Xenopus tropicalis: one gene and its partners. The protein of the gene in region 2 purifies or fractionates together with the protein of the main gene of each other region. This does not show direct contact. Links are inferred from orthologs where the notes say so. Each region holds a gene or a part of one and is shown on either strand. Other genes may lie near its edges.

What was found.
Region 1: the proteins of vdac1 (region 2) and atp1a1 fractionate together in Homo sapiens (co-fractionation; 3 studies listed by BioGRID, with this or other methods). This does not show direct contact. The link is inferred for Xenopus tropicalis from reciprocal best matches to the Homo sapiens genes VDAC1 and ATP1A1.
Region 3: the proteins of vdac1 (region 2) and sqstm1 purify together in Homo sapiens (affinity purification with mass spectrometry; 3 studies listed by BioGRID, with this or other methods). This does not show direct contact. The link is inferred for Xenopus tropicalis from reciprocal best matches to the Homo sapiens genes VDAC1 and SQSTM1.

Annotation. Positions count from the first base shown.
Region 1 is NC_030678.2:1,064,509-1,068,008, forward strand, and holds part of atp1a1 (sodium/potassium-transporting ATPase subunit alpha-1), read right to left. Parts: exon of another isoform or gene 2,996-3,500; intron 2,766-2,995; coding exon 2,655-2,765; intron 2,504-2,654; coding exon 2,444-2,503; intron 2,347-2,443; coding exon 2,143-2,346; intron 2,061-2,142; coding exon 1,947-2,060; intron 1,570-1,946; coding exon 1,435-1,569; intron 1,296-1,434; coding exon 1,178-1,295; intron 1,047-1,177; coding exon 778-1,046; intron 590-777; coding exon 391-589; intron 274-390; coding exon 164-273; intron 1-163. UniProt on the Homo sapiens protein: This is the catalytic component of the active enzyme, which catalyzes the hydrolysis of ATP coupled with the exchange of sodium and potassium ions across the plasma membrane.
Region 2 is NC_030679.2:22,887,148-22,890,537, reverse strand, and holds part of vdac1 (voltage-dependent anion-selective channel protein 1), read right to left. Parts: intron 3,334-3,390; coding exon 3,181-3,333; intron 3,091-3,180; coding exon 3,038-3,090; intron 2,085-3,037; coding exon 1,857-2,084; intron 192-1,856; coding exon 41-191; intron 1-40. UniProt on the Homo sapiens protein: Non-selective voltage-gated ion channel that mediates the transport of anions and cations through the mitochondrion outer membrane and plasma membrane.
Region 3 is NC_030679.2:22,199,356-22,202,639, forward strand, and holds part of sqstm1 (sequestosome-1), read right to left. Parts: coding exon 3,281-3,284; intron 2,465-3,280; coding exon 2,250-2,464; intron 2,030-2,249; exon of another isoform or gene 2,011-2,029; coding exon 1,839-2,010; exon of another isoform or gene 1,833-1,838; intron 1,129-1,832; coding exon 1,033-1,128; intron 760-1,032; coding exon 533-759; intron 248-532; exon of another isoform or gene 230-247; coding exon 13-229; intron 1-12. UniProt on the Homo sapiens protein: Molecular adapter required for selective macroautophagy (aggrephagy) by acting as a bridge between polyubiquitinated proteins and autophagosomes.

The DNA.
Region 1 (3,500 bases), on a different chromosome or scaffold from region 2:
GCTTTAGAAGAGATTTTGGGAGGAGTTTCTCTTTAACCCTTTCCTATAACACTGAGCCAGCACAGCATTTGTCTGAAGGCACCAAGTCAGACGTAGCTATGCAGGGTGCAACCAGTTCTCGGTGCAGGGGTGGGGTGCAACACGATGGTGGAGAGGAACTTGCCTTTAGGATGGGGGTGTTCTCTTGTCCAGCCTGAAACACGGCTCTGTTGCACAATCCAGCAACCCGGGACAGGGCTGTCCATGTGGGGGAGCTCTTATCGAAGGAGGCACCTGTAAAAAAAAAAAAAAAAAAGCCAAAATCATCAGCCAATCATAAAAGAGAACCAATTTCCAGTAAGCGACAGGAGCAGTAGGACACCACCAAGCGCCCACGGCTGCCCAACTCACCGCTCTGATTCTCCGTGGTGTCGGCTTCATGGATCTGGTTATCAAACCACATGTGGGCTACGGTCATTCGGTTCTGTGTCAGGGTGCCCGTTTTGTCGGAGCAAATGGTGGAAGTGGATCCCAAAGTCTCCACAGCCTCCAGATTCTTCACAAGACAGTTCTTGCGGGCCATTCTTTTGGCGGTCAGTGTAAGGCAAACCTAAAATGGGGGAAAAAAGGTCAGATGAATCCTGGGGCCAGTGAAAATCTGGTGGAACAGGAAAAGCTCGTGTTTGGCACTATAACTGCCCAGTCCTCCTTTTGGTGCCCAGGGCTGGGCACAGCCAGGCTTCAGAGCGACCACTTACACACTGCACTTTATATTGAGAGACAGTCAGCCGCACTCACCGTGACAGTAGCCAGCAGTCCCTCTGGCACATTGGCAACAATGATACCAATGAGGAAGATGACAGCCTCCAGCCAGGTGTACTGCAGAATGAGTGACAGGATGAAGAAGCTGACCCCCAGGAAGACCGCCACGCCGGTGATGATGTGAATAAAATGCTCAATTTCAATGGCAATGGGGGTGCGTCCTCCCTCCAGGCCAGAGGCCAGAGTAGCGATACGGCCCATCACTGTACGATCACCGGTGTTGACGACAACGCCACGGGCTGTGCCTGTGAGACAGAAAAGAGTTGGGTTAAATAATGAACATCCTTTACCTCTGCTGCCCCCACCCAACGTTGCTCCAGTTGCACGGGTGCCCAATAAGGACGTCGGGTTATTTCACACAGGCGTGACATCTCACCTTCCACACAGTTTGTAGAGAAGAAGGCGATGTTGCGGGTCTCCAGTGGGTTCTCATTGGTGAAGTCAGGAGAGCGGGTCTGGGGTTCGGACTCTCCAGTGAGGGAAGAGTTATCCACCTACGGTAGAAGTTGGGTCAGGTGTGTGCGGCACTACAGGAAACCCCACTATTTCCCATGTGTAGGACCCCCCCGCCCTGCCTGTGTGTACGTGATGGATCATTCCATGAGGAACAGCCTTTACTTTCCCCGCTCTCACCTTGCAGCCATGAGCGGAGATGATCCGAACATCCGCAGGTATCCGATCTCCTCCCTTCACTTCTACCAGGTCACCCAAAACCACGTCTTCCGCATTAATACTCAACTTCTCTCCGTTTCGGATTACCAGGGCTTGCTGTGTGACAGAGAAGTCTCCATTAAGTCAGAGACACAGGGGAAACCCAATACCAAGGGAAGACGGGGGGGGGGGAGTGAGGGGCCAGAATACAGTAACATATTTACATTACAAGCCAAGTACTATAAATAACTCCCTGCAGCTCTCGTATAACATAGTAAATGTGGTGCTGCCATCACTAGGACCCAGGGGGCAGGTACTTTGTATCTGTAGTTTCCCACCAAAGTCTGGCCAATTAGCCAGGAACGTCACTAAGTATTTAACCCATAGCAGAGAGCGGAGACTGTTGGTGTTCTGCCCCCTTAGCAGGGCAGGAGGAAAGAGGGGTAGGTTATATGATCCCACCCCAGGGCAAACATATTGCAAAGGAATTGCACCTGAGGAACCATGTTCTTGAAGGACTCCATGATCTTAGAGCTCTTTGCCTCTTGGTAGTAAGAGAAGCAGCCGGTGATGATAACGACAGCGGACAAGACAACACCGAGGTAGAGCTGTAGGGAAGAAGATAGAGAGTCAGCCTTTGGTACCAAGACTTCCATGCCAGTGCCCTGTACAGAACAAGCAATCACTCACATTATCATTCGTTGGCTCCTCTTCCGTGGCAGCAGTGATACCATAGGCCAGGAAGCAGAGTATGGCTCCAATCCACAGCAGCATAGAGAACCCCCCGAACAGCTGGCGGCAAAATTTCACCCACTCTGGAGTAGTGGGGGGCGGGGTGAGGGCATTGGGTCCATCTCGTGCCAGGATCTCTGCTGCCCGGGCCGTGCTCAGACCCTGAGAAACAGAAAGGAGAATGTTGAAGGGAATGAACAATCCATTTCCCCATTGGACCCTTAGAGACACTGACCAATCACACAAGCGTATGACTTACCCTTTGCATGTCCGTCCCAAACTTGCGGTGCAGCTCATCCAGACTCAGTTTGTGGTCTTCCTGCAAAGGGGAGAAGGAGAGGGGTTCATTTCTGGCACAATGGATACACCAGCCCCCCTACAGGGGAAAGGGATCCAGCCCCCCCCCCCCCCAGGCTTTTCCTCTCTCTCACTGGGAATCCCCCATCATGACCCAGATGCCCCCCACTTACCATGGTCAATTCCTTCTTTAACTCATCCATGTCTTTATCCTTCCCCTTTCCCTTTTTCTTCTTGCCCCCCTGCTCAGAGGTAGCTGCGGGCTCATACTTGTCTCTTCCGGCCTGTGGGGAGGAAAAAAAAAAAAAAAGTGTCAAGGGCAAGTTCACCCAATTTATTTTAATGCCTTTCCTATCAATGTTCTGCAAAACATAGGTCATTCTGTCCCTTGCCATACTCTGAGACCCCAGTGAAACAGCGCCCCTAGAGGTTCCCAACATGGCACCCAGAGATGGGTGTGCCCTTGTTTTCCTATGCAGGAAAGACACACACACACACACACACACACACACACTATGCACTGTGTAACCCAGTACAACTCGGCATTATGTTCCTTCAATGACCCCATTCACCGGCAGTGGGCGAAGCTGCCCATGTGTAACGCCTCCCTGTGTACCTATACAGGGGCAAATCTGTTTAATGGAGTAGCTTTAGCCCCACCCTCTTATAATCCTGCCTGGCAGCTCCTACACAGGGGTGGGGGCACCCTAACAGCGAGCACAGAACTTATTCCCATACAGCGGCTGTACAAAATGGCCACAGATTGCGTAAGGTACCCACACGGAGTGTGAGCGGGGAACGCCGGCTGTGCCAGAGCAGAGGGATAATATGGCTGCCAGCCGTTGCCAAAACAAACAGGAAGGCAGAAGTATGTGTCACCTCCCAGTACAACAAGGTGACGAGACAGAGAGCGGCAGAGATGCCACACTGGCAACTGATATGGGAAGGGTCGGTGCCAGGGGCCGCACAGAGACTGGGGCCCCCCCAACTGCCACCCGCCTGGGATACAGGGCATTACT
Region 2 (3,390 bases):
GATGAAGTTTATGAAGATGTGCTTCATTGTTTGTACTTACTGAAAACGAAGCATCACTATCGATTTGATATTTGGCTGCTATTCCGAAGCGTGTATTGCTGTTTCCTGCTGTCCATGCAAGGTTGATTGCAGTTTCCAGTTTATCATTAACCTTCTGATATACAGAACCACCAAACTCTGTACCGTCATTTCTGTTGGCAATATACCACAAATATTATTATTACTGGACAATTTAAAACATGCCAGCATTTTCTGCAACATTGTAAATGATCTGTACTTTTCAATAAAAAACCAATGCAAAAGGGCCCACAATGCAGTAGGGCTTACAATCCAAATAGGGATATGCGAGACACAACATATAAAATCGGTATGTTAGTGAAATGTTATGTTAATGGTTCTCACTGAGATAAAAACGTGTTACTTATAATTAGGATCAGCAAGGCTGATATGTCATTGCAGGAACTGAGGACTTTTTTTGTAGAATGTATTTTGTGCCTCTGTTCTCTGCAAATGAATTCCACAGGTATGGAGCTGCTCTGGTGTCCCTGTCCATATAAGTAAGTTACCAGGAAGCAGAAAAATCTGGAGGAATAAATGGTTGATTTGGGCTGCTCCTGTGAGAACCTTGCCTCAGGTGGCAGTGAGCAGCCAGTTACTAGGGTTGGCAAAAAGCCGCCTCTGGTAACTTTAAGAGCCAAATTTTCATTTTTTAAAACCAAAATTTGGGTCTGCTAGTGCAGACTTCTAGGTCAAGCCAAAAACATGAGAAAGGTTAGTTCTTCTGATGAAATGAACCCTAGCACATGTGCGTTGTATATACGTTATATTGTCAGCTTTATATGGGCCGAGTCTAAGTTACTTAGGGTTGAAGTTCAACCTCTCTAAACAATATTTATCTTCTATTAAAAAGTCTATGTCAAATGTCTATGATGCTTAGATATGACCAAATGCAAAAAAATATCTCAGGTACCTCATTCAGGAATCTTGGTAAACTATCCATATCTGGTATTGCTACACTTAGAAGATATGGGGCTTTCTAAATCAGATGTGTCTTTGTTTATAGTTTTTTTGGTCTATTTTAATTATGTAAAATATAAAAAATGCTATTGTGGGCAAAAAAATAAGTGCATGAATGTTATGAATAAGACCCTAAATCCTAGGAGTGCTGTGCTTGTTTCAGTATATATATATATATATATATACACAATCCATAAGATGCTCTGCAGTAGGACCCCTTGTATGTTAAAACCCATATCATTTCAGAATCCTTAACCATATTATAATATATGCATATTTATTATAGTCATATATATATTTTTTTTAATTCTGCGATACAGGTTTATATGTCACTGAAAATGTATTATTTTAGTTACCTTTAACTAGCAGCAGCCTATAAGGGGGTTAATGCCCCACTAATTGTTTTTATTAGTATGAGATAATAAAAGGATAATCCTGTATTCATTCATAATAGTCAGGGCAATGATTTGACCACAACAATGTTTTGCTATTTCTTTTTTTCACTAAATGATTTGCAATTGTCCACACCCCCTCGCAACAGTAGAAGCAATTCCTTGGCTGATTAGTATAACATTTAGAATTCATGGATATTTAGTACATTATTAATAATGCACTGTTGTTTATTGTTCATCGTTGTGGGTGTTTCACAATTTGCCATTTTTCTCATTATTACCATTACCTTTACAAGCTATTGTAGACTCAAACTAAATCTCTTGGAAAACAAAATGTTTCCCCACAGGGTAAAAGTAAAAGATCACAAAAATGTTTATGTGGATTAGCAGTGAAAGTTTTAACATTGTGCTGAATTGCTTATACAAGAAATGTTTTGTTTGACTTACACATTGGTATGCAACTGAAATTCATCAGTTTTGTATCCAACTGCAAAGTTGCTTTGGGAGACTCTGGACTTTGAGGATTCGAAAGTCATTTGGTAGCCAGCTAACCATCCCTCATAGCCAAACACTGCAGCTCCCCGCACTGATGGGCCAGCAATATCGAAATCCATGTCACAGCCAATGTTAAGGTGCTCTCGCTTGTATGCAGTCTTGACTTTTGCATTCTTCTTTCTATATAGTTTGAGAAAAGAATAAATTGGTATTAGGAATTATTATTAGCGAATAGATTCCCTTATCTGTTTTATAATATATATTGTGTGTTTTGACTTACTAAATATTCCTAATGCTATAATTTGGTGCTAATGCTTCTGAGGAAGTGTCTTTTGGCTACCAAGGGTGTCAAGCATGCACCCCCACCCCACCCCATCTGTTTACACGCCTGTTTAAGATATGTTTTATATACATATCAGTTTTACACAAAAGCTCTCCCCAGTATTCAGCGAGGATCAAATCTGGATAAAGCTTTTTTGTTTGCCAAAGTCACATTAGTTTAACCCAGTGAAATGCACTGTTTTTTCAATATTTTGAAGTGTTTGTGTAACCCAGCAAAACTTGCTAAGTTGTGTGAGGCAGAAAATCAAAGCAAAAGGTAATCCTACCAGTAACTAATAATAACACAAATAATTAATACCTCTTGCTAGTAAAGCCACACAGAGTTTCAGCCATCTTTCCACTACACTATACAGATTTAAATGTTGCCTAGATCTCATGCATAATTTATTTGTAAGCTTTACGCCTATCTATTTTCACTCACAGTAGTCCTATAAATTTACAGTGGAGCTGAGCAAGCATAAGGAGTCTGGCAAATCAGTTCCAGATGAGCTAAAAACCTATGCTATCTAGGAACATCCCTGTTGCCTGTCAGTGGCAAATTTGATACTGAAAAGAACTGGATGGTGTGGATGGCCTTTGGTTATCTGATTATGCTGAACGTTCTATAAATGTAATTATTCAGCCAGTTACAAGGATAGCTAGGACAGCAAATACGTTTACACCCCTGATTAGCCCTATGTGGAATTACCCTAATCTTTCATGCTGGGTCCCCCAGCTACTAATTCATGCTCCCCTTGGAGGGCTGTATATAATTAAAAACTCTCAGTTATTTAAGTGCAGATTCTTCTTACCCTGTGTTAGGAGAAAATGAAGAGTCAAATGTCAGCTTCAGACCCTTTGCAAGCTAAAGAGAAAACATATTATGTATTTAAATTGTAAGACATATCTTACTCACAAGTTCCAGAGTTAAATTATCTCAAATTAGGATATTTACCTGGTCTTCTACAGTGATCTCTGTCCCTAATGTGTTATCTGTATTCCACTTTTCTGTGAAAGTAAGGCCATATTCTGCCCATTTGTATTTGGTTTCCAAGCTGCCAGCAACTTTGTTAGTCTCTGCATTCGCTGATCCTGAGCTTGTAAATTCCTGTAAGTCAGAGAAGTATACACACAATATTCTGTTACTGGAAGTTGTGTAATCATG
Region 3 (3,284 bases), about 690 kb from region 2:
AAAATAGATTACCTGGTGGGAGGTGTGGATAAAGAGCAGCTTCTCTAAGCCCTGTAGGTGCATGTGTGGGCAGAGCAGAAGATCTGGTTGGATCTAAGGAACACGGCTGGCCTGTCTCCATAAGCTGAAGGGACTGAAGTTCACCAGTGGAGGGATCAACTTCTTTGGATGAGACATGGGTCCAGTCATCATCACCCCCTGAAGCACTGCTGCTATTTTCCCCTTGTTCCTGATGTAAACATAGCAGGTAACATGTTTAATGTACTGTAGCTCTGTATTATATAAATATATAAACTGTAAGAAGTACATCTTGATTACAGCTCAATCTCTTAAAACGGTTTACCCCCCCTTCCCCCTAGAAATGCACATACCACTCAGTTTAAGACAGAGTTTGTGACCCTAGAAGCAGTGGATTGGGGTTAGACACCCTGTGGTGATGAGGTGATCTCTAACAGGAAGCATGACTGAGATCTATCATATATTATCTTCCATGGAAAAAAATGTTAGGTAAAGACAGCACAAAAGAACTCACATTGTCTTGTGGAAGAGGCGAATTCAGTGCAATATCTTTCATTCTTTTTGCGATGTGCTCAGTTTCCATGAGATTAGGTGCCGAGTCAGATCTGCTGGCGATATCCTGGCTTTCTGTAAAGGAAGTGGAGCTGTTTGGCTGCGAGTCCCCATCCACAGAACAGGGGTGTGAAGTTGAAACTTTGGTCCTTTTTCCGCCATGCTCAACATCAATGTCCACGTCAATGCCTGAGGAAAGTACAGAAAAGGCTCATTTATATACTATTAGGATTCGGTTCCGCCGGGACCGTGGATTCAGTCAAAACCGAATCCTTCAAAAAAATGCTGGGTTATTTCTGCAAGGAATCAAAGAGGACTTAAGAAAGAGAGCAATCATTTTTTAGGACTTTCAGGATTAATCGTAAGTCAGTATAAATAGGGTATTAGATTATGGAGACATTTATCATTTTCTTAATGCATAATTAATGGTCCCCACAATGTCAATTTAATAATGGCACTTACCCAGGGGGCTCAGCATTGCAGCCACACTCTCTCCGACATTCTTCAGGAAGGCAACATTGGGATTCTGAGAAGACTGGGAGTCACTGGTGGCTGCAGCTTTGGAAGGGAAAAGGGCTGTTATTATGCTATTGCTATACAGCATCACACATGGCTTAGGGGCAGATTTATCAAACTGAGTTTACAGCTTAATTCCTCAAAACTCACCAATGTTCTATGCCATTACCCTAAGGCAAATTCACTTCAAAAAGGAATTACATATAAGTATTTTAACCTTTTCATAGAAAATATACATGTCTTTAAAGTACAATACCATTTCCTCTAGGAGTAAAAAAGTTAAATCATGCAACCTCCATTTAAGGGACAACAACTATAAAAGTTCACGTTCCACAAAACAAAAGCCCCTGCTTTGTGTTTGCATTGTTCATTCAGAAAGCCATAATGCTTTGAAGAAGTTATAAGTATCCCTTTGGATAGTAGCTCCATGAGCCTTTGCCCTTACGTGCACTGGCACAAAGGGCTATTCCCAGCAGTTTTATGGCCATGTGTTTTCCATTTCAGTGGGTGGATGGATGGGCAGACTTCAGACAACTGGGAAGCTCCTCTCCACTGACTTTAATGATAATTACTTGAGAAGCACCTCTTCACTGGCTTTAATGATTATCACTTGGACCCCACCTGTACACTTATGGGTCAAGTTAATATTGCACAGAAATGTGGCATTGAGAGGGCTGCCAAACTAAGGACACAAGTATTCTTTGTGCTAAAATAACATTAATACAAAGAGATTCTCATTTGCACAGGTTTACCTTCCTCTGCTGGGGTTTCATTCTGAGGAGGGGTGCTTTCCTGGGCCTGCTGAAAATTTTGGCAGGGGTATCCTCTGGGTGGATAGGCCCAGCCCTGCATCCATGGGAAGGGAGGGACTCCATGATGCATTTTACGGAACCAACGGCTGCGCGGATAGACCTGAAAAACAGACTGATTGCAGTATTTCAAGGTAGAACTTTTCAAAGCAAATAATTCAGCTTTAAATTACTATGTGCAATAAGACTAACATGTAATATGTGATAGACTAAACAATGTGTAAGATCCAAGGTGCTAATTTCCTAACAGAGCTAACTGATAAAATTACTATATAAAAACATGATTCCATTCCAATAAATACCATTAGAGAAATGAAATTCAGTGGTTCTTCATAATATATCTGTAGAGCTTACCAGTGGGGTAGGGAACATGATCATGTTGTGTTCCTTGTGGATTCCTTTTTTCTCACAAGTGCTGCACAGATCATAATCTGGGCAGATGAGGCACTTGAACCTGTTTCCCACCACAGGCCCATCACATCCATCACAGGTCACGTTCGGATGAACTACGTTTTGTGGGGTTTCCTGCCCGCAGTGTCCACGATGGTCACGTTTGCACTCTTTTCTCTCTAAAAGAGTAACATTATTAGTGTGCCTATTTAATAGATTATTTCAAATCACAATACAATCTGTCATCGCAATCAAATCGGGTTAATCTATACATAACCCAAAGTGATAATAATCCAGTCCTGGATTTTTTTTAAACCATTTACTCTAACATTAGCTGAGCAGCTACTTGTTGTGGCTACTAAGAAAGACAACTGATAACTGATAATTGTCACTACGCATGTTTTAGCAGAGGCAATTCTTAGTATTGTCTATGGCAGGGTATTTCCTGGCGTTTAGTAGCCTTGAAAAAGTAGCTGCTACTAGTAGCACTGTGTGTCTTCACCCTAAATAAGGCCTCAAAATACCCAGAATTGATCACTATTACCACCAAGAGGTTAGTTGATATCTCTGCTTGTAATGTTAACAAAATCTGCTCCAAAATTCATACATTTGAAAGGCAAAACTAAGTTCTATCCTTCAAGGGGGCTAAAGCAAATGCAAAGATTTTTAACCCTTTGACAGCCGGACACTTATGTCAAATGCAGACAGTGTAGACACATACACATGTCATTCAAGTTTGATTTCCTGGAATGTTAATGTCATAGCATTATTCATCTATGCCACTAAAAAGGGATAAACCATGTATCTGCAGCATATAGTGAAAATGAGAAATGAACAATCAACCAGAGCTTTGCTTTTGTTTTCTGACTTAGTAGTAGTAGTCAGTTCAAAACTCAGTGCTGATTGGATGCTACAAGTAATCCACTGGTGTAATTTAGCACTTAATTCATGTTTTTAACTGAGTCATAACAAGTCCCACGTTAATGTTCAGATACCTTT